Rattus norvegicus: one gene and its partners. The protein of the gene in region 5 purifies or fractionates together with the protein of the main gene of each other region. This does not show direct contact. Links are inferred from orthologs where the notes say so. Each region holds a gene or a part of one and is shown on either strand. Other genes may lie near its edges. The genes, in order: Fbxo42, Maml1, Notch2, Fhl1, Rbpj and Rita1.

Region 1 (3,500 bases), on a different chromosome or scaffold from region 5:
TTTAAGATTATATGGGACTTGTGTGCCATTCTAGGGGGAGGGAGGATGCTATGGGCTTGGCATTTGAACTCCACCTATCAAATTAATATGGACCCAACCAGTATGGGAAGGTGTGGAGCAGTTTCATGCTGTGCGAAGGGGACCATGAGCAACTCAGGGGCTCAGTGTTTGTGTGCTTCTGCAGGCTGTACACTGATGTTTACTTCTTACCCTCTAGAGCTTCAAGTGTGTGTCATGGCCAGCTCCTCAGACAGTGAAGATGACAGTTTCATGGCCGTGGACCAAGAAGAAACTGCACTGGAAGGGACAATGGAGCAAGATGAGGACCCACACCCAGTATTGGAGGTTGAGGAAACAAGACATAATAGGTCCATGTCTGAGCTGCCAGAAGAGGTTTTGGAGTATATCCTGTCCTTCCTCTCACCATATCAGGAACACAAAACCGCAGCTCTGGTCTGCAAGCAGTGGTATCGGCTTATCAAAGGTACAAGTGTTTCAAAGAGGTGTGTGTGTGTGTGTGTGTGTGTGTGTGTGTGTGTGTGTGTGTGTCTGTCTGTCTGTCTGTCTGTCTGTCTGTCTCTGTGTATGTACATGTGTGCAGGTGCCTATGGAGGCCAGGAGAGAGCATCAGATCCACTGGATCTTGAGTTACAGGATCTGTGAGCCACCTGTGTGGGAGCTGGGATTGAACTCTGTCTCCTACAAGAACAGCGAGAGCTCAACCACAGAGCCCTGGCTGTGTCCATTCTTAGTGAGCAGTTTAGCTTTAGACTCCTCCCTCCCTGTCTTCTCTCCCTTAAAGACATTGTATTTAAAGAGTTGAATTTAGTATTAGATAAGTTAACACAGTTTTCTTCCTGTCTTGGTTAATTTATGAACAGCTAGAATACTAATTTAGTATTTGCATCTATATCCGTGTTTTATGTACAATGCCTGGTGCTTGTGGAGGTCAAAGAGGGCATCAGACCTCCAGAACTGGAGTTACAGATAGCCGTAGGCCTGGTAAGTGTGTCTGTTAACCGTGACTGTGTATATATGTATGTGTTGTATGTACTCGTTAGTGTGAGTACATGTATGTGAACGTATGTGTGTGGCCACCAGAGGTTGACTTTTAGTGTCTTTCCTCAATTGCTCCTGATCTTCATTTTTTTAAAATATTTTTTAATCCCCATTTCTAGTGGGGATAATGGAGATATTTTAATATATGCTTAAATATAAAGGAAGAGAGAGAGGTGTGCTGGACAGGTGGCTTAACATGGCACGTGGCTTTAATCCCAGCCCTCAAGAGTTCACGGCTGGATTTTGTGAACTTCACATAGGTGCTAGGAATCGAACTCAGGACCTCAGGAAGAGCAGCCAGTGCCCTTAACCACTGAGCCATCTCCAGCCCACTCAAGCTCTTAACCTTTAAGAGACAGTTCTTAGACATAGTCAACATCTCATAACCTGTTACGTAGTAATCTACTTATATGATCTCGCTTAACTGGAGAATTCTGATTGTTGTGATCCAACCGCAGATGCTTTTTAAGCAGCTGTTGTGCTGTAGACAGTGCTTTGTCGTATTTCTTCGCAAAGATGAGTCATTTCTCAGCCCCTCTGCTTTGCAGTAAAGGCCACCAGTTTCTTTATTGCCTCGTGGTAAACATGAGGACAAGGATGATCACGTGACCTGATGCAGTAACTCTCTTAACTGTCTATGGCTTGATAAAAGCAGTTCTTTCCATTTTGACATTCCTTGATTGTTTCCTTTCTTTGAACAAAAATGAGAAATTTCGACTTCCTCAAAACATTTATGACATACACTGTGATACAACAGTTTAAAAAGACAATTGTAATGATTTCCCCTTTGAAGTTAGTATCTAAGCTGATGCCTTTGGTTTTTCTCATCTTTAGGTGTAGCCCACCAGTGTTACCATGGTTTCATGAAGGCTGTCCAGGAAGGAAACATTCAGTGGGAGAGCCGAACTTACCCTTATCCCGGAACCCCCATCACTCAGCGCTTCTCCCACAGTGAGTACCCATGGTGACAGAGCAAGTCCCACACTGCCTGTGCTGTGTTTCTAGAAATGGTCTTGGAGGCATGCCTTTGTCTGGCTTTTTTTTTTTCTTTTCTTTTTTTTCGGAGCTGGGGACCAAACCCAGGGCCTTGCGCTTGCTAGGCAAGCGTTCTACCACTGAGCTAAACCCCTAACCCCCTTTGTCTGGCTTTTAAGTGAAGAGACGGTAAAGTGAGAGTTCCTAACAGAATGAGGAAGAAGTGAGTGTGGACATGAGGTACGGCCTGATGGAGAACTCAGCGGCACAGGGCTTGCCCAGGAAGGCCCAGGTTCAGTTCCGTCCCTGACACCCTGACAGATACAGTGCTAGGGCTTGTTAATGTTACATTATGCTGTTTAATTTGACTGTACTCCTGCTTCAGCTCCTGAAGGTGATGGTTTCGGGCATGTGCCACCATCCCTGTCTAGAGTTTGAGCTTTTGGTAGGAAGGAGCATGTATTGGTTACCCAGGCCATAAAAAAGCAGCCCTAAAACGTAGCAGTTTAAACAGTATTTCTTACCTGTTCTTGAAGGTCTGAGATTTGGAGATGGTCATGATTTCTGATTTAGAAGTGTCATTGAGAGAGGCCTAAGGGGTTTTTTGTTTGTTTTTTAAAGATTTATTTATTTCATGTATATGAGTACACTATCGCTGTCTTCAGACACACCAGATCCCATTACATGTGGTTGTGAGTCACCATGTGGTTGCTGGGAATTGAACTCAGGACCTCTGACCACTGAACCATCTCTCCAGCCTGTGGCCTAAGGTTTTTGTTTTTTGTTTTGTTTTGTTTTGTTTTGTTTTTTCTTTTCTATTTTTCGGAGCTGGGGACCGAACCCAGGGCCTTGTGCTTGCTAGGCAAGCGCTCTACCACTGAGCTAAATCCCCAACCCCTGGCCTAAGGTTTTTACTGATAGAACCTGTCACACTGTCAGCTGCTTACTGTATTACTGAGAGGGTGTCTGAGACAGAAGCTAGAGTAGTCTTCACAATCTCTGAACTAAGTGCATCTCTTCTGTTCTATTTTCTTGGTCACACAGAGATTGACAGGAGTTGTAAACACCAGGAGGTGAGGCTCCTCAGTGCCACCAGCCCCCAGATCTTTTGCTATACTTGTCTGAAGATGTTCAGAAATAGTTAGGACTTGTTTCTTGCTTTGGTGTTGGATGAAAGTAGACCAAGGAGACAGATGAAGGGAGCTACCCATTCACTAATGCTGCTCAGGGGGGGACACCTATGAGCCCTCCATGGGACTTGATGAAATCAGAACTGTGAGTGTGTGACAGTGAAGAACGCTGGTGTGTGACAGTGAGGGCTGGCGAGATGGCTCAGCAGGTGAAGGGGCTTGCTGCTGTCATTACCTGAGTTCCATCTCTAGGAGCCACATGGTGGAAGAAAGCCAACTCCTGCTGGTTGTCTGTTAACTGAGAGTTGTCCTCTGACCTCCACACTTATACTGTGG
Region 2 (3,978 bases), on a different chromosome or scaffold from region 5:
CAGCCTCATACAGTATGTTCCAGGCAAAAGTCTGGGGTACCTGACACTAAAAGTTTAATGGCTGGGTGTACTTAGTAGTAGTGGCACTATATGCATGAGGCCCTGGATTCAGCCTTCCAGCACTGCACACAAAAGTTGTTTACACTTAGCTTGAGTGCTAATTGTAATGTTTGGGTACCGGTAAGAAGCAGTGCTCATTTATCTTTGCAACTCCCTTCACCAAAGGGAGTTTTTATTTTGTTTTTATTTTTACTGCATTTGTATAAAAACATTTTGCTGTTAGCTTTTTTTCTTGTGATTTTAAAAATAAAATTTTCGTGAACTCCAGTAAGAGGTAACATGTTTGACTGGCTAATGAGGTCTTAAGTGCAAAGCCTCCCAATCATCTATGGCAGTTTGCTCCTCAGTAACCATCTAGAATATGTTTTGGTCCTTTCCTGGCTTTTTACCTTCACTCAATTGCTTGCTAGTGACATCTCTGGAACCCAGTGCTTTGGATTGAATTTTGAGTGATTTAGTTTTATAAATCAGTCGGTTTTAAGTGTATGTTCCTGTGGATCTAAATAACTCTAGTTCCCAATAGGAGGCTAAAGACCATTTAGTGCTCTCCACCCCACCCCCCACTTTAAGTAATGAGATATTGCTCACAGTACCTGTCAGTGATTCCTATCTCTACTAGGTCACTGAAGCTCAAAACAATTCTGATCAATTAGTGATTCCTATCTCTACTAGGTCACTGAAGCTCAAAACAATTCTGATCAATTACAGGGCTGTATGTAAGGAATGAGGTCAGAAATGGCTGGCTTCGAAATATTCTGGATAGACTAAAAAGATAGCATTGAGCATCTGAGTCTTAAGGCTCACTTACTTACCCCGCGTTCCTCACGAACCCGGAAGGGACTGCCTTCAAGGGGGCGGTGTTCTGAAAACGTGGCTCCTCTTGGATAGGTTCCTGTCAGTCACAGTACACTCTGCTACGCTGAGCCCGCCTCGGGGCTTCCCTCCTAGCCTGAGTGTTCAGTTTAAATACCCGAAGATTCCTGACGTGCTTTTCCCCCCACGCCCTCCGGCAGCGGGTTTGGTTTGATTGGCTATAGCTCGGGTCCATCAGCAGTGACGCAGAGTTCGCCGGCCCAGGCCCCGCCCTCTTCCGAAAGCCCCGAAAACAATTTTAAGATGGCGGCGGCAGCGGCGCGGAAAACAATGGGGCAGGGGTATAGCGGACAGGCCGAAGCCTGAGGCGGGCGGTGTTCGCTGGCCTGGAATCGGGCCGAGCGGGACCGGAGGAAGACCCGCCACCGCGCCCGAGTCTGCTCCACAGCCCACCCGGACATGGCGCGGCCGTGAGGCGGATCCGGGCCGCCAAAAGCGGAGGAACCCGAAGTGCCAGCCGGCGCCGGGAGGCCCGGGCCGGGCCAGCGCCGCCCGCGGCCCATGGTGCTACCCACCTGCCCCATGGCGGAGTTCGCGCTGCCGCGGCACAGCGCGGTCATGGAGCGCCTCCGCCGACGCATCGAGCTGTGCCGGCGCCACCACAGCACCTGTGAGGCCCGCTACGAGGCTGTGTCTCCCGAGCGCCTGGAGCTCGAACGCCAGCATACCTTTGCCCTGCACCAGCGCTGCATCCAGGCCAAGGCCAAGCGCGCCGGCAAGCACCGGCAGCCGCCCGCCGCCGCCACGGCCCCGGCAGCCGCTCCGGCCCCCGCCCCGGCCCCAGCGGCTGCGCGCCTGGACTCAGCGGACGGCCCGGAGCACGGCCGCCCGGTCGCGGTGAGTAAGGCTGGCGCCTGCCACAGCAGTACTCACTCCCGAAAACGCCTCTTCCGGCTCGGATCGGGCCTCGGGGAAACTTCCCCGAGCGCCCCCATTTCTTAGTCTGGGTCCTGGGAGGAGGCTAACATGGCAGGGCGCTTGTCATCTTCGAGAAGTGGCACTGCGGTGTACTTTTTGGGAAAACGTCCCCGTGAGGACTTTGAGCGAAGTCGGGGCTGGAAAAGCAGGAGAAGGTTAGTTGCTGATAGGCTTTTCTCCCAAACGATTTCCAACTGATGAGAACTTCGACTCGTGTTGGAGTTGCCTAGGATATAGGGCGTTCTTGCACCTTAGGCCTGGCCTCAATTAATCTGCCGATGTTGATTGGATCTTTGCTTCGTGGAGGTTAGTTAAGGCTTTAATGTGGAAATAAGTCTCCCTTCAGTTGACAGTATCCTGCGGCTTCTGAATAGAAAATCGAAAAGCCTTTGGAAGCTTCAGTAAACTGAAGTGCATAAAAGGCATTCTTCCCCCACCCCCTAAAGGGAATTTGCGAACGCGAGATTCCTGCTATACTATTGACAGTTCCAAATTTAACCTACTAAGCTTGTTAAAAACTTCTGATAATATTAATAGTTGTTAACGGAGGAAATGACGTTACTTGTTGGTCAGCTGTGCCCTTTGGGTTTTAGTTGCTAATCCTGAGATTTATTGGTTAGAAGTTTTGACTCCCTGAAACTGATTTATAAACCGGAAACCTGTTTGGAGGGGGAGGGGCAATGGGTGTTACAAAATTCTTGGTAAAGTTTAAAAGTCAAATTTTACAACACTTAAGTTGTTCGGTAATTCTAATTCATGTCTTCATAGTCTCTCACTTGGTCCGTTGTAAAACTCTTTCCTAACTAATGGTTAGTCTTTCAGTCACTTAATACGCTTCCTCTGAAATGTTAGAAACCCTTCTGTGGCTGGAGGGAATTGAGTTAAATCTTTGGTTGGCTTTCGGGACCAGCTTGACCTAGCCTATCTTTCCATGTGCCAAAGAGCTATTGTTTCCCTTCTTCCCCACACTATACCCACTGCAGGGCGAGAAGTCAGAAGAACACTTGGGTTCTGACCCAGCTGCTCGAGTCTTTTCATCCTCACTTTCCCCGCCTGTACATCCAGGGTATGTTGGGCTTCTTACTAGTTTTCTTGAAGGAATCAAATGAGTTTGAGGTTAGGTGTGGTGATTCACGCCCAGAGGCAGGAGGAAAGAAGACATGAGTATGGATGTGAGCGAATTTCTCAAACTAAAAGGCTGCCTGCAGAGTTTTTGTCAGCATTTTCAGGATCCTGCCATCCTTCCTGCCACAGCCCATCTTCTTTTGCAGTTTCTGAAAAACCAGCCCACAGTAGAATCTCCTCTCTCAATACAGTTATGAGATATATGTGTATATATATATATACATAGCTATATATCTATCTGTATGCTTTTTTGTTGTTGTTTGGTTTGCTTTTTTTTTTTTTTTTTAAGACAGTTTCTCTGTGTGCCCTAGCTGTTCTGGAACTCACTCTGTAGACCAGGCTAACCTCAAACTCAGAGATCCACCTGCCTCTGCCTCTGGAGTATTGGGATTAAAGAGGTACACCACCACTGCCCAACTTACGCCCTTTGTTTTTAGCACATAGTCACATATTACTTCAACCATCCTGTGTCTTGACAAGTAGACTGTAAGCTTTGGACCCTGAGAAGGCTTGGGCTAAGTTCCATTCATATTTTTTTTTCCTTTTTTCTTTTTTTTTTTTCGGAGCTGGGGACCAAACCCAGGGCCTTGCGCTTGCTAGGCAAGCGCTCTACCACTGAGCTAAATCCCCAACCCTCCATTCATATTTTAGGCCATCCATATACTTGTTGATAACCAACTTGGGTGTGCTTTACCCAAAATGACTTAACTGAATGAGTCACCTTACTAACCAATCTTTCTTGAAAGATCTCCACCTTCGCCCCAATCCCTTTGGGGGATTGAGCATAAGACATTGTACTTATTGTTTGTCTTAGTTGGGGTGTCTATTGCTATGAGGAGAGACCATGACCACAGCAGTTTGATTGGGGCTGCCTTACAATTCAGAGGTGGGAACCATGGTGGCAATGCAGACAGACATGGTGCTGGAGAGGAGGCTGAAAGTTCTACATCTAGATGTATAGGCAGCAGGAAGAGAGAGTGACACTGGGCCTGGCTTGAGCAT
Region 3 (3,975 bases), on a different chromosome or scaffold from region 5:
AAAGCCTTTTATTATTATTATTATTATTATTATTATTATTATTATTATTACAGATTCTCAGGCCTCCTGTGTCAGAACACAAGGGTGCTGAGTGTAGGGCCCACAGCAATGGGTCTGCTGCAGCCAGGACATGCAGCTAGCTCTTGGCCTCCACAATGGAAGGGGCAGGGAGGAAGGTCACCAGGAATGGCAGAGTGGGAACTAGATCAATGCAAATTTTGTGGGCAAAATAAAATTTCTGTGGGTGTGATATTTTTAAAATGTATTGTAAGGTTGCTCTCAAGCATCGAAGCATATCCCACTGCACTTAGACATTCTTTAAAGGTCCTGAAATCAGTGACAGCCTGGGTGAGCCAAGGCTGCCCCTCTGGGCAACACAAATCCACAGAGGAGGAAGAAAAGAGATCCCAACAAAATACCGGTATATATTTTTCAAACACCATAAAATGAGAGATTCTGTAACCAATCGCTCCCTCCTCCCTCCAAGAAAGAAAAACGGGAAATAGTTACAGGGTGAATTTCATCTCACCCTAAAGGAAAAAAGCTTGCTCTTTTGTGATAGGGATTCAACTGACAAAGTGTCTAGGTGACAGTAAAACCAGGGAATCACTCCCACTGCAGAGCAAAGAAAAAACAAAAGTAAGGGGTGGTCCAGAGCCGTTCAGAAGCTCACACAGATGGGTTGACAGCTCCTTGCCTTAGGAATCAGTGATGTTCAAATTAACAACTGGCCACAAGCCAAACATGGGAACACTCAAAAGTTAGGGAGGGAGAGTTATAATTGGTACCTTGGCAAAATACCCCCATAATAGATTAGGAAGCTTCCCTGCTAGACCCTGGGAAGATTTAAGATTTGCAACAGCAACGAACTCTTTAATCTCTTTTATGAGAATAGTTTAGCATCTAAAGAACATCTGTCTAAAACCCAAAATACCTAAATTTGAGCCAGCTGGACTAACACTCAACTTGACCCCCAGGGATAGTAAAGGCCAGCAAGAGCAGAAGCAGGGGCATCAGTTGAATGCACTGGGGTTCAACACGTCAGGAAAGCCCATGGACCAGCCTCATCCTGTTTCTGTTGCCAGTGACTGGTGAGTCTCTTTACGGCCCTAGGTATTAGTCCCCAAAGTACTCAGAAAAAAAAAAAAGTTATGCTTTTAATCCTCTTTCATAAGGGAAAGACACAGATCATGAAGACTAAAGTTATTTACTGTGTAAAACAAGTCACGGGGGAACCAAGCACTGTAATCCTCAGAAAAATCACACTAATTATACACCTCTTTACCCTAAATCTACACTTAGGGCTAACAGCTTCATTCAAAGAAAAAGGGTAAGGCAAAATGCCATCGTTGAGTTTTTAGGAAAAGTCTTGGAAACCGTTCATCCTAAACAGGCTCCTTGGTCCACTTCTGACAACCTGCGGACCCAGCAATGTAAGTCATTTGAACTTTTCAAAAAGTATCTGGTTGATGCTGAACAAGCCAGCACTGTTTGCAGGTGATAAATAATCGAGTCCTCAAAGCATCTGGAATTGGCATGTCCGCTGCTTGCTACAATGAACAAAGCCCGGATTTTTCTGAAACTCATCCTTTCTCTGAAAAAGATGTCGTAGGGGTTTTCTGGTAAAAAGCTAACTGTTCTTGAGTTAAAGGAGGACCCTACCAGTTCATCGAACACTGTGTACAAGTCATACTCCCCACTGGAAGCACAAACTTCACCCAGAAAGACCAAACCGCTGCCCCTGTCCTAAAAGAACTTTTCTCAATATCTTTTAAGCGCTACGGGTTTAATATACATTCTTTTAATTAATCCTATTAGCTGGGTAATTTCATCCCCATTTTATTGGTGAGTTAATACAGCAGATTTGAATCCAGGATTACAGAGCTGGGCTCCAAAGTTCTTTCCATACAACATTCCAAAGAAACGTAAGATCTAAAGATGTGGGTGGAATGGGCAAAGTATGATTCGATTTCCTTTCCTGGCTCCCACCGTGTTAGAGAGGGGGCAAGGAATATCCCACCATAACGAGCCTTTCTAAGCAAGCGCTACGAATCAACCACTGTCTCCACTTTTCCTCGCCTGCCCCCGCCCCTGCCCCACCCCCAACGGTGCCAAAAGAGCAGCAAGCTGCTGCCAGGTCGGAGGAGTTGGGGATCGTCACACCACATTCCTGGGGCTGGACGCACACTGGAACCGCAGCCGAGCTCCGCGCCTCGGAAAGAATAACAGCAGTTGAGATTTTCAATCATGTGGCTCAGCACGCTGCCACACCAGTTCCCCCACTGCTGCCTCCACCTCTCCAAGACCTAAGCCCCACGCCCAACTCCTCCTCCGGACAGACCGACCGATCCGGGTGTCAAAAGTTGGGAACGCCGCAAGCCCCCGCCGCCCTCCCAATCATACTCGCACCTCGGCCCGCGAGCTGCTCGCCCGAGACCCCGCTAACGCGGAACCCGAGACGCTACGCGTTGCCAAGACTCGAGGCCCGGACCAGGCAGTTTGGAAGGCGCAGCCCCCGGAGCGCGCAGTGGCAGAGGGATGGTCTCCCGGGCGCCTGGTACTCACCGTGCGCGGGGCCCGCGCCGCACAGCCAGAGCCACAGCAGCGCCCGCAGCGCGGCGGGACGCAGAGCGGGCATCTTCACTGCCGCAGCCAAAGCAGATCCGCATGGGGAGCGGGTCCCGACCAGGAGCCCCGCTCTCGCGTGCTCTACCCTGCCCCCGCGGCTCGCCGAGTCCAGGAGCTGCCGCTACGCCGCCCCGGCACTCCGCGCAGCCAGGCCGCCGCCCGAAGTTTGGCTGAAAGTTTCTGGCTGAGCCGCGCGGCAGAGTGGCCCGCGTGTCCTTCCGCCTCGGCCTCCTCCCACCGCGAGGCTCCGCCCCCGTCGCCGCCGCGTGCCCAGGGGTTTCCCGCAGAAAGAAGCGCCGGTCCGCTGCGCGCGGAGGGATCTGAGCGAACAGCACTTGGTACTCGGCCCGCCCGGCCGCCTGGCCCGCCCGTGAGCTCCGATAAGGGGTTGGCTGAAGCGACCAACATCAAACGCGAGGGTTTGCGCGGATCCTGAACTTGTAAAGAGAGGCAGACCTCATGCCCCACACACCCACACACTCCTTGGCTGATTAGAGAAATGAGGGAGAGCAGACACGGGGCTGTCAACGGAAAGTAGGCGCCAAAGTCCTCTTAAGGGGACATTCCTTGAGATGCTCTGGGCATTTCGTTCATTCATCTATTCATCCATCCATCTTTGGTTCTTTTAGTGAACTTCCTGTAGCAAGATGCTTGGGACCCTGGGATCATCCACTCTAGGGTCTAGGATAATTTAGGGGAGGCTTTCAAAAGACAGGTATCCTGACAACAGAAGCCTGAAACTCTAGTCAAAGTGTAGAAAATGGTAAGAACCAGAATACTCTTTGTAACCTATTAATAGCTGCGAGTTAAGAGTGACCTAAATGCCCCACCCTTGGGGGCTAGGTGAATAATTCGTAATTATAAGTGAGGTGCAATACGACTGAAAATATCACCTTCATATACGTCAACCGTAAAACCAAAATGATGATGAAAACACAAATTGCAGAGCAAGACTCTAAGAATACCATTCACATATCTTATGGTTGTTTGTGTACATCGTTTTTAAATGACAGATAAAGCTATAACCCTAACTAGTTCTTTCCAACGTGAGTGTGGACTGTGATCTAGCCTGGGTATAGATGAGTTTGTAGAGTATATGAAACTGGCCACTACAAGGAATTGCATGAACCACACAGGACTATCTATTTCTGTCTTAACTACACTGCGAAATCTTTACCGCCAAAGACCATGGTCGTCACCATCAGTGCCTATCACATAGTAGATGGTGACCTAGAATGCAGAATACAAGTGAATATGGGTGTGAACATTAAAACTGCATTTTGAGAAGTGCTTTAGGATCTGGGGAAATGGCTCAGAGGGTAAGAGGGCTTGCTGTGCAAGCACAAG
Region 4 (3,500 bases), on a different chromosome or scaffold from region 5:
CATACTTTTCACTTCATTCTCTTGCCACAGACTGTTCTCTCCAGTGTTCGTTAGTCTCCGAGTGTGTGCTTGTGTGTGAGCATATATATGTACGCATATATATACACGTATGTATATGGGTACATATATATGCTAAAATCTCAAAGCAGCTCACAGCAAAGTTAGCCCCAACATGACAAGCAAGCACACAGCATGTCTGCCCTCAGGGTGGGAGGGGCCAGTACCTGCCACAATGGCCTTGAAGCACCCTTTGCACCTGGGGGAGTCCTCCCGAGTGGCGCACTTGTTGCACAGGATCTTGCCATCCTTGGACACAAAGGTCTCACTGGCCAAGGGGTGAAGGCACTTGGCACAGCGGAAGCAGGTGTCGTGCCAGTAGCGATTCTTATAGTGCACCTCCTGGACATCAAGCAGAGCAGGGTGGCCACTGTGAGGGGCACTGGGACCAGTGGCCGCAGCCTTACCATTAGATACGAGGTTCTCCAGGGCCAGGTAACTACTCACGCCAATGTCAGCCCCCTCCATGCGGGGATGCCCTGTGGTGAGTGCTTTTAGGAGTAACAGGAAGAGTAGTACTGTAGTGAAGACGAAAGCCTCCCAGTTCCCAAAGCACATAAGAGTAGTGGGGGGAAAGCCCCCATCACAAATCTGCAATCCAAAAGGCTCCGGAATCTCAAGCGCTTTAAGGGTTAACAGACAGATCTCAGAAGGAGAAAAGGACACATCTGGTCTCACGGGCCAGGGCACAGTCACAGTGTCAAAGCACAACACACAGTTTATTCTGTGTCCCTGGGGAAAGTAAGACCCTCCAGTCTATTCAGCTGCAGTGCATAAATGCCATTCCACAGACAACAAAAGGAGGCCAGAGAGGATGAATTCGAGAGGAAGCATGCAGGAGCTGGGCAATGCTCAAAAGGGGTGGGAGGGAGAAAAGGGAAAGGGGGGAAATGACAGAATTATATTAATTTAAAAAACACTGTATAACATCACCTTCAGGCTATGTACATAGAGTACATATGTACATTTACAAATGTAAATGAATTTTGGGTTTAGACTTGAGTATCATTATCAAGAGCCTTCATTAAATATGGAGAAGTATTATAAAATAAGAAATCCAAAAAAAAAAAAAAAAAGCGCCAAACACTTCTCTTGCTAGCCATTTCAGATAAAGGCTATCAAACCTATACTCGCAGTGCCTTAACAGACCATCGCGTCCAAAGACCATATCATATATATTTTAAGCTAGGGACATGAGAAACACCTGCCTCAAGTAGTCAAGGCTGCTGTGAGGAGAATTCAAAATGGCAGCGCTGCTGGCAAGGCTACAGGAAAACACCTGAAGCCCACCCAGCCTGCCCCGTTGCCCCATCAGCTACAACAGTTACCTTAGCATCAGCGCTTATGGGCTTGCGGCATTCCACGCAGGTGTTGGCGCAGAACTTGTCAAAGCACTTCAGGCAGCAGTGACGGCCATCCTTCTGCACATACTTCTTCCCCTGCAAGGGGTCCCTGCAGTAGTGACAGTCGAACTTCTCAGACATGGTGCCCACCTTATAGCTGGAGGGACCTATAGGGGCAAAGAAGTAGAACAAATGAGTAAGGAGACCACAAAGATGCTCAGCCATACGAGGCCCTGGAGGTCCCAGTGCACTACTGCGCATGTACCTAGGAAAACCGAGTCCTCAGGGTGGAGCTTCCACTTAAGCCTGGCTAATTACCAAGTGTCACAGCAACAGATGCTTCACTATGGCTCCCAGGAAGAAAACGCTTCTGATTCGAACTCTTAAGTGTCACACACAAAGGGCCAGTAACTCCCTGGGGACATGTCAGAAATCACTGTGCTGACTCAGAGGAGAGCAAGTGGGCCAGACCTTATGCTGGCTAAGGTCACCACACAGGAGGATTCTGGGAGATTCACACATTGTTGAAAAGTAACCAAGAATGGAAAGGGGAATGGGAGGGTAAGGTAGAGCAGAAAAAATAAAAGACTATTGGGCAAGGCAGGTGTACTGTGTGCACCACAGCACTGGTCCACAAGATGTCTTACTCGCTTGCACAGACAGTTCAAAAGAATGGGGCAGAGCAGGGCATGGAACCACTGCTCCCACGGCTGCCCACCACACAGCAAGCCAGAAGCCTTCCTGCCAGCTCTGACGCCATATTCTGTCACCTTTTAGGGTGGGGGCAAATATTTTCAGGTGGTCTCACTTCCCTCCTGTCTATACAGTTCTATTAATCCAAACAGAAACTTAACAGCTAAGTCATATTCCCCACCCACCCACCCACCCACCCAGGCACACATGCAGCCCTCATGAACTTGTTTCAAATGTTTTACTCCTTGAAAAGATCCCAGAGAGTTTTGTCCCAGATAGTTTCCTAGTGGCTGAGGTCTGGGCATTCTCGCCTGGCCTGGGCACACTCTGCAATTATGAATGATTTGTCACAGTGAAGTATGGTTTGGGGACACATTAAAGTCAAATCTCTCTCGGGTCCAGACAGTGAGGGCTGGCCTATCCGAGCAAGTATTACTTTTTGGTATAGCCGCTGTTCCCCACAGCAGAAGTTTTAAGTATAATGTGGAAATCCGACTTTTGCAAAGGGCTAATCCAATCATTCCGAGAACGTCGTCCTCCCTCCACTCCCTTCACTGTCCACCAGCACCCCAGCTGTGTTCCTAGGCAACCCTAAGTAACAAGCCTACAGAAGCCCAGAGCCCCGCTAAGGTCCTCTGCTGTCGGTCCCTTTGCCAAGTCATTTTTCTAGAGAATCCTGCCACCAGGAAGGGTTTCTATTAGTCCCACTTTCTTTACACATATGCTAATTTTCTTCTCCCATTAAAAAAGGAATTTGCATAAGTAAATAGACAGTAATTATTTAATTTGTGTTAGAACCACAAGAACTGAGACCATTTGAACTGAAACTATTCATCCTGCGTGTACTTGAGAGAAAGAATGGAGAAAGAAATGAGCAGTTGCCTGCTACTCACCGCAGCTCTTCCACCAACTGAATGGCCCCAAACTCCTGCTCTGGGTTCTATTCCCAGGTTTTTTTTTTTAAAAGCAACCACATGTCCAAGTTGTTTGGATTCTGCTGCCATGGGCAACCAAATAGCAGAGTGAGCTAAGGAAACCACACCCTTTGTCTGGGAACGCGCTTGGGCCGAGGCTGGTGAACTCTCATTTGGACTGTCACTCTCTTATGTCAGGCTCTCTCCACAAGGGAAAGTAGGGCCATGGAACATACACAACGTCCACTGACAGACACATCCACCACCCAGGCCCTCATGTCAGAGAACTGACACAGGAAGTACATGAGTGACATTTCTGTAAAATGACCTTTGCTTGGCACAGTTATATCACTGTCAAGTCAATAGAGAAAATGAGAAACTAGCCCTTGCCCGTGCTTTTCTCTAAGAACCCTATGCAATGTTGTCTTGTGTATCTAGGTAGACACAAACTACACACACACAAGGAAGCCTGCCCGATCTCCTTGAGTCACCC
Region 5 (3,500 bases):
GTAGAATTGTGATCTGTGTGGTGTTTTTTGTTTGTGGGTTGTTTTGGGTTTTTGTTTTTTGTTTTTGTTTTTGTTTTTGTTTTTTGGGTCAGGATATATCCCTATAGCCTTGGCTATGCTCTTCTGGAACTCACTGAGTAGACTAGGCTGGCCTCAGACTCACAGAAATCTGCCTTCCTTGCCTGTGAGTAAAGGCATGTACTACTAATGCCTGGATTTGATCAGAGTTTTAGATAGCTATATATAAACAATTATTTTGACTAATAATGCTGTTAATTTCCTTTGTTTTTTTAACTGTACTTCCATGAATATTTTAATATTTGTTCCTTTATCATTTCTGTGTACATATAGCCTTCAGATGCGAAATAAAAGTACATTTTGTGATAATATATTAATCAGTAATATCAAATCATTCAGGTTTGATAATACTAGTTCACCAATGAGTTTTAATATTCAGTGCCCAATAAAACACTAAGATGGGAATGAAGTTCCTGAGAAGGTATTGGCCTAGGTGCTTGAGATGTGCCATGCTGTGTATTTGGTAGCCACTGTAAGCCTGAAAGATCCCTGGTACAGAAGTAAACTGAACCAATTACAAAACATGCCCAGCCAGTATAAGCATCTCTACACGTGGAATGACCTGGACCTGGACCCAGTACCTGGACCATGACCTTGATATTCTTAGCTTCGAGTGTGAGCATGCAAGCATGAACGCTCCTCTTGTTCTCTGTTGCTTAATTAGATATTACAGAAATACCGCAGAGGCTTCCTACTCGCTCCGAACGAACTCTTTCCAGGACACACTTGGGCTGCTCAACCTTTTTTGCCTCAGACTTCCTTGCCATGGTTGATCCCCTTCTAACCAGCCACTGCTTCTGTGCTTTGTCTTCCTTTATTTTAAATGCCACAAGTTACCTCCGTAAGGATGTTTTCCCTGGCTGCCTCAGACAGTCCATATATATATATTTATTTATTTTTTTGGTTCTTTTTTTTGGAGCTGGGGACCGAACCCAGGGCCTTGCGCTTCCTAGGTAAGCGCTCTACCACTGAGCTAAATCCCCAGCCCCAGACAGTCCATATTTTAGCCACCCTATCCTGACTTTTTTTGTAAAGCCAGGATTCTTACTACTAGCTAACAGAGTCTCTATTTTTATATTAACTTTATACCCACCCCCATCCCCGCCTCTTGTTAGTTAAGTTCCATGAGAGCAATTTTGTTTGATGTTGCTGGTTTCATTATATTCCTGGCACCTGGGGGTATAATAGGTATTTGAAGAACTAATAAACACTGAATCATTTCAGCTTACTTCTTGTACATTATATGTGTCAGTTATGTAAAAGCTCACCTGATCAGGGTTGAGTAAAGAAGGTGCTGGTACCTTTGGAGGCAGTTGAGTTCATGTTCTTCTTGGTTTGCTGAAGACGCACACTGCGTATATCCTCACAGACCCGAGACTGTGAGGCACAGGCAAATGTTCTGTTCGTTTGTTTATTTGCTTGTGTGTTTGTTTATCTGTTTTTCTAGCTCTATCTCTATAGTTCTGACTATCCTGGAGCTCACTGTGTAGACCAGACTGGCCCCAAATTCACAGAGCTCTGCCTGCCTCTGCCTCCAAGTGCTGGAATTCAAGGCATGCACCACCATGCTCAACAACACAATTTACTTTTCTTAGTCTGGGGTTCAGGTAAAATTTGACTCCCAGTATCAGTTGACTAGAAGATGTCACTGGCCAGTAGTAGGCCCATGTGCTCATGATTCTGCAGTGTAAGTTAGTACATATCCACATGCGTGGCCATCTTCCCCTGTTACTTTCTTATAATTGGAACTTATTGACTATTGTTACAGTTAGGCTCTTTTGCTTATAGTAGGATTAGCAGAATCAAGAAACACTTATGTATTTATAACTATACAAAAAGTAGGAATTACCAAGAGGGCCTTTTGTTTTAAGAAAGAGGGGAAGAAGGACGGTAGTTCTTTGAGTGAAGATACTTCTACATGTTAACTATACACCTGTTCACCATTTATACTGTTTGCCTGGTCACTAGTCATTTGAGGGGTTGGGGATTTAGCACAGTGAGCGGTTGGGGATTTAGCTCAGTGGTAGAGCGCTTGCCTAGCAAGCGCAAGGCCCTGGGTTCGGTCCCCAGCTCCGGGAAAAAAAAAAAAAAAAACTAGTCATTTGAGTCTTCAGGCCTCTCTAGAAAGGGACAGGACACAACATTTAAGGTATGTACATATCAGTGGGTGTCATTAGGCAGAAGTATATTACATTATCATTGGACAAGTACATTCTGCCCTACATAAGAGATAAATCCATAGTTCCATTGTTAGGTTATAACAAAGTCATTGTATGTGGAGAGAACTTGAGGATGCTTTTTGGGACACAGATGAACAAGTCTGTTGGTAGTCATGAGCTGAAGAAATACGGTGTGTTGTTCTTTTGGTCCAAGAAGTTTCTCAGTCCTGAAAGCAGGTGTTCAGGGGCTAAGGTACATGAAACACGGGCTCTTTATGGAACTCACATCAAGCAGTCTTTTGTCTTTTCCTTAGTTGTCTTACTTGTGATGTTACTTTAATGCTATTTTCCAGGTGAATTGCCAAATAATGTAATATGACAAGAATAGCATTAAAGTTAATGATGCTGTTGTCTTGGCTAGAACTTAGTAATCACAGATTCTGTAGTGATCTATTATGTTTTGTGCCTTGTTTGCCAAATTTCAGTAGAGTAGAGCCTTGAGCTGTAAGAATTCAAAGTTCTGCTTAAAGCAGAACTAATCTAACTAGTGGTCTAAGTCCTCAGTTTTTATTAGAACAGATTAAAAAAAGTTTATTTCAGTCCTTTTGACATGATTTGCTTTATAAATGACCAAAATGTTTTGTAAGGAACCAATTTAGTATATTTAAATATGATTTTGAATTCATATTTGTTAAAAAATGAAGTATGATCTTGAATTTAATTTTTCTGCCATTTTTTCCCCCAGATTTTTTTGCCCTCCTCCTTGTGTGTATCTTATGGGCAGTGGTTGGAAGAAAAAAAAAGAACAAATGGAACGAGATGGTTGTTCTGAACAAGAGTCTCAACCCTGTGCATTTATTGGAATAGGAAATAGTGACCAAGAAATGCAGCAGCTGAACTTGGAAGGGAAGGTAAATTCAAAACATACATTCCGCGTTCATTCTTGCGGTATTTATTTTAGTTTTTTTTCACACCAGTGTTTATTACACTTAATGTGTATATCAGAATCACAAAGACACCTTCAGGATGGCTGTGGCCTGGTGACTCATAGAGTGCATAGGCAGCACCAGAGCTGGAGAGATGGCTCACTGCTTAAGAGCACTGGCTGCTCTTCCAGAGATCCTGAGTTCAATTCCCAGCAACCACATGGTGGCTCACAACCATCTGTAATGGGATCTGATATGCCCTCTTCTGATGTGTCTGAAGAGATCAACAGTGTACTCATATACATAAAATAAGTAAATAAAGGCAGCAGCAGGAGGC
Region 6 (4,016 bases), on a different chromosome or scaffold from region 5:
GCTGAGCCTCAGCAAAACCCTTGGTCTGAACCACGTGAGCAGCTTTATTGTATTTGCCGATGAACACATGCCTTCTCATTGCCTCTAGCAGTGTTTGCACATTTACTGACCACCTAATTTACTGACTGAGCTGGGAAGGAGAAATGGAGAACTAGAGATACCCGCTAAGCACAAGACGACGGGCATCGTGAACGGTAGGCTTTTCGGCTCCACTTGGCGCTCACGCCTGTCTCCCCAAATGGCTACATATGGAACCAAGACCATCCCCAGTTTCAATCCTGCTGTCCCCTCTGTCAGTGCTGATGAGCCTTGCACAGTTGAAGCACCACAAAAGTCCGTAAATACTAGGTTAGTTTAAAACCCGCTTCTCAGAAGTGTGGTCCGGTCTCTCCTTTAATTTTACCATCTAAGACCGCCCAAAACTCAGGCGGACCTTCCGCACATGCACTTTCTATTGGCTGTATAAACTGGACCCCGCCCCCTACGCGAAGAGACCCAATAAGGGCCCGCGATTAGTGAGACGGACGGGCGGAAGGGCGCAGGCCGAGGGCCCGACCAGGACCCCCGCGTTATTACCTTCCGCGCCCGGGCGTCATCCTCTGCTTGGATCTCGAACTCGCCGTCCTCCGAATCGCTGTCGCGGGCCTGGGAAGCCCCAGTTCGGCGTTTCCGCAGCCTCTTCTTCTTCCACGGAGCCATGGCGGGATGCGACCGCGGGCCAAGCCCCACACGTCTGCCGGCAGCCATGCGGGCCGGGCACTCGGACCCGGAAGAGGGCGGAGCCTGTGGGACGCATGAGTGGCGTCGGGGACGAAGGCGGGGCCTAAGAGTTGTACCAGCCGGGCAGAGGCGGGGCCTGAGGGACATACCAACTAGTGGGGGCGGATTGTACCAACTGAACAGTGATAGGCGCTTAGGAGACCTACTAATTTGCAAGGACACCAAACGCTAATAGTTAGGATAGATGTGGAGAGAGCAGAGCCTCAGGAACATACAACTCAACGTGTGGAAGCTTTGAGGAATGTACCAACTACGCAGGGCAGCCCCCCAGGGCGGGGCCCAATGGATGCACGCATGAGAGGGGGTGTGGCCCGTGGAACGTACCATCAGCGCGAGGGCGGGATGTACCAGTGCGCAGGGGCGGGGCTTCACTCCTGTTGCCCAGCAAGGGCTGTATGTGGGCGCGTGTCGCCGGGGCGCGGCTGCGGATTTTGTGCTATGCGGGCATTTGTGGCGAAGATTATGCTTGCTGGCCAGAGGTCCCAGTAGGAAAAGCTCCTAGCATGAAATTCCCGGGACGCCTGCGCTTTCCGCTTTGTAAGCTGTCTGGTGTGTGCTACTCCGCTGTTTGGAGCCTGAGTTGTAATTGGGGAAAATGGATTTAATCTGAAGGACCGGTTGGCGAGGACTAGAACGCACCACGCTTGCAAAGCGCTTTGCACAAGGTAGGCATGGGGGCGACAGTGGCTTGGGAGCCCCTTTCCCTCTTCCACCGTAATTAGTTTGTCTGGTGCCATTCCCCTGCACGCCCATAGTCGTTCTATAAATATTTGTTGAGCATACACTGTAGGCTATAATTGTGTATCTATTTATTCATTAAATATTTGCTGACGGCATTTCCCCCTGTCACAACTAAGAAGACAGGAGTGCCTGCTTAGCCTGCGGCATGCACAAAGCACGGGGTTCGAACCCATGCACCTCAGACGCCAGGCGGTCGTGCAGTTCTTCGTGGGAAGTAGAAGCGGGAGGATCCGGAGTTAAAGGTCATTCTTGGCTATATAATAGACTTCAATATAATGGGTTTCAGGCCACCTTGGGCTACTGAAACCGGGTAGGGGAGGGGCCAGAAAGTGAAGCATTTCCGAGGTGCCCACTGAACAACAGTCGCTTTCCCTCAGCAAGAAAAAGCCCCCTTTGCCCTTGGGTTTGTTATTGCAAGAAGCTACTCTTACTTGGCCCTGCCCTTAGCTCACTCTGACCCTCCAGGGAGCCCTGGAGGCTGAATCTGGCAGGCACAGTAAATCCACTGGGCAGCCTGAAGACCCCGGTGGAGGTGGAACTGGCCCAGCGTCGGAATGCAGGCACTCCACCTTCAGCACCGCAACCCGCGCAGCTACCGGGTCAAGGCCAGGGCATCCTATGTGGATGAGACCCTGTTTGGCAGCCCAACAGGAACCCGGCCAACTCTACCAGACTTTGACCCACCCTGGGTGCAGAATTGTAACAGATCTAGAGGAGTGAGCCCAGGACCCCCGAAGGTCTCTCTGGCCAAGAGAGACTGTGAGTCTCCCTCCTCCAGGGGCAGCACCCCAAATCTCACACCAAGGAAGAAAAACAAATACAGGTAAGGTTGGGGGTGGTAGCATTGCACTCCTGTACTGAGGGTGGCCGTCTTGGTCCCTTTCCTGATTGCCCTGATGAAATACTCTTGGCAGAAGAAACTTGGGCAAGAAAGGGTTTATTCTGGCTCACAGACGGCTTGAGTGGCTCTCCGTAGTTATAAGAAGTCTCAGCAGTGTGGGGTGGAGATGGCTGGTCATGTTGTGTGTTTGCTGCTCAGCACTTTCTCTTACTTTCAGTCCCAGGGCATGTGACCCACCTCTTCTGACATCTGGGGCATGTGCATCTGACACCCCACATGGTGCACACGGACTTGCCTGTGGGTGCGCATGCACATTAAACACCAGTGCTAAAGGGAAGGCCTGTCGTAGGCATGCCCGAGGGCCAGCCTGACTTAGCGGATCACTCTCTGCGGGCCGCTCTCCGTGGTTCTAGATCCTGCCAAGTTGACAGTTGAAACTGACCATCAGAGTAGCTGTCAGGCCTCCTGGGACTGAGTGCTAGGGACCTGCTGTGTGGCCATGGCCAAGCGCCTTGGTTCTCTGAGCCGTGTGTTTCCTCATGGCACATGGGATGAGTGTCGCTGTTAAATGAGACTTGGGGCAATGTTGGCACAGCAACCGGTGCTTGGGAAGGTCTGGATGAACGGTGGTGTGGGCTGGTGAGACGGCTCAGTGGGGAAGGGTTCTTGCCTCGAGCGCCTGGTGGCCTAGGATTGCTGGAACCTTCATAAAGGTGGAAGAGAACTGACTCCAGAGTTGACCTCTGACCTCCACTTGTGCGCCTCTGTCTGCATACACACACACATACCCACACCATACACAGGACAATAATAATAAAAATTTTTAAAAATCTTCAAAGGAGATTTTTTGGGGGAAAAAACTATTCAACCAAAGAAAAAAATGTATCTCTATTGAGCTCATATGGACTTTTTTGAAAAAGGTACAATTGTATTTGGCTGTTTTTGGGTTGGGGGGCGTATACTGGTAGAGGTCAAAGGACAACTTATAGGAGTCAGTTCTTTCCTTCTACCATGTGGAGCCTGAGGATCAAAACTCGGGCTGTCAGTCTTGGCCACAAGCACCCTTACCCACTGAGCCATCTTGCTGGCCCACGTTCCTATTGTCCCTAAACAAGTGTCTGCTACTTCTGTTTATGAAGCACTTAATGGACCTAATTGCTCCATTAATCTGGAGCCGAGCAGATTCAGGAGGGTGTCTGTCATTTGATGCACAAGACTTGAGCGTGTACGGATAGAGATTCATGGGGGGGCGGGGCAGAGGGGGCTGGAGTGGCCTACCCTGTTCCCCCACCTCCACCATATCAATGAATGACCATATCGGGACTCTCGATGGTGAGGCTCATATGAGGTGCTCCTCTTAGGACTGCTCCCCTCTCTAGGAGATGAGACAGAGAAGCCCCAAGCTGTTTTGGGCTGATACCTGTATTAAAGAATAAGTCCGGTTCTGCTGCTTTGGTGTCTGGTGGGCAGTGAGGTTGTAGAGGGCTTTAAGGTCATTGCCCTTCTCTTTTCCAGGTTGATTGGCCACACCCCATCCTACTGTGATGAGTCACTGTTTGGCTCCCGGCCACAGGGCACCAGCAAGGAGAGGTCTCGGACAGCCGTGGAGGATGCGGCCAAGCTCCGGACCCTTTTCTGGACCCCACCAGCCACC

What was found.
Region 1: the proteins of Rbpj (region 5) and Fbxo42 purify together in Homo sapiens (affinity purification with mass spectrometry; 3 studies listed by BioGRID and IntAct, counting the BioPlex papers as one, with this or other methods). This does not show direct contact. The link is inferred for Rattus norvegicus from reciprocal best matches to the Homo sapiens genes RBPJ and FBXO42.
Region 2: the proteins of Rbpj (region 5) and Maml1 purify together in Homo sapiens (co-immunoprecipitation; 12 studies listed by BioGRID and IntAct, counting the BioPlex papers as one, with this or other methods). This does not show direct contact. The link is inferred for Rattus norvegicus from reciprocal best matches to the Homo sapiens genes RBPJ and MAML1.
Region 3: the proteins of Rbpj (region 5) and Notch2 purify together in Homo sapiens (affinity purification with mass spectrometry; 3 studies listed by BioGRID and IntAct, counting the BioPlex papers as one, with this or other methods). This does not show direct contact. The link is inferred for Rattus norvegicus from reciprocal best matches to the Homo sapiens genes RBPJ and NOTCH2.
Region 4: the proteins of Rbpj (region 5) and Fhl1 purify together in Homo sapiens (affinity purification with western blotting; 4 studies listed by BioGRID and IntAct, with this or other methods). This does not show direct contact. The link is inferred for Rattus norvegicus from reciprocal best matches to the Homo sapiens genes RBPJ and FHL1.
Region 6: the proteins of Rbpj (region 5) and Rita1 purify together in Homo sapiens (affinity purification with mass spectrometry; 4 studies listed by BioGRID and IntAct, with this or other methods). This does not show direct contact. The link is inferred for Rattus norvegicus from reciprocal best matches to the Homo sapiens genes RBPJ and RITA1.

Annotation. Positions count from the first base shown.
Region 1 is NC_086023.1:158,754,665-158,758,164, forward strand, and holds part of Fbxo42 (F-box only protein 42), read left to right. Parts: intron 1-217; 5' UTR 218-234; coding exon 235-484; intron 485-1,893; coding exon 1,894-2,010; intron 2,011-3,500. UniProt on the Homo sapiens protein: Substrate-recognition component of some SCF (SKP1-CUL1-F-box protein)-type E3 ubiquitin ligase complex. Specifically recognizes p53/TP53, promoting its ubiquitination and degradation.
Region 2 is NC_086028.1:35,121,301-35,125,278, reverse strand, and holds the start of Maml1 (mastermind-like protein 1), read left to right. Parts: upstream 1-1,178; 5' UTR 1,179-1,434; coding exon 1,435-1,770; intron 1,771-3,978. UniProt on the Homo sapiens protein: Acts as a transcriptional coactivator for NOTCH proteins. Has been shown to amplify NOTCH-induced transcription of HES1. Enhances phosphorylation and proteolytic turnover of the NOTCH intracellular domain in the nucleus through interaction with CDK8.
Region 3 is NC_086020.1:188,298,161-188,302,135, reverse strand, and holds the start of Notch2 (neurogenic locus notch homolog protein 2 precursor), read right to left. Parts: upstream 2,801-3,975; 5' UTR 2,639-2,800; coding exon 2,566-2,638; intron 1-2,565. UniProt on the Homo sapiens protein: Functions as a receptor for membrane-bound ligands Jagged-1 (JAG1), Jagged-2 (JAG2) and Delta-1 (DLL1) to regulate cell-fate determination.
Region 4 is NC_086039.1:139,644,996-139,648,495, reverse strand, and holds part of Fhl1 (four and a half LIM domains protein 1), read right to left. Parts: intron 3,117-3,500; exon of another isoform or gene 2,987-3,116; intron 1,568-2,986; coding exon 1,386-1,567; intron 400-1,385; coding exon 225-399; intron 1-224.
Region 5 is NC_086032.1:61,563,261-61,566,760, reverse strand, and holds part of Rbpj (recombining binding protein suppressor of hairless), read left to right. Parts: intron 1-2,982; coding exon 2,983-3,148; intron 3,149-3,500. UniProt on the Homo sapiens protein: Transcriptional regulator that plays a central role in Notch signaling, a signaling pathway involved in cell-cell communication that regulates a broad spectrum of cell-fate determinations.
Region 6 is NC_086030.1:41,609,748-41,613,763, forward strand, and holds the start of Rita1 (RBPJ-interacting and tubulin-associated protein 1), read left to right. Parts: upstream 1-1,216; 5' UTR 1,217-1,445; intron 1,446-1,637; exon of another isoform or gene 1,638-1,640; 5' UTR 1,641-1,763; intron 1,764-1,986; 5' UTR 1,987-2,075; coding exon 2,076-2,344; intron 2,345-3,877; coding exon 3,878-4,016. Other genes in the region: ATP-dependent RNA helicase DDX54, read right to left, coding at 577-747. UniProt on the Homo sapiens protein: Tubulin-binding protein that acts as a negative regulator of Notch signaling pathway.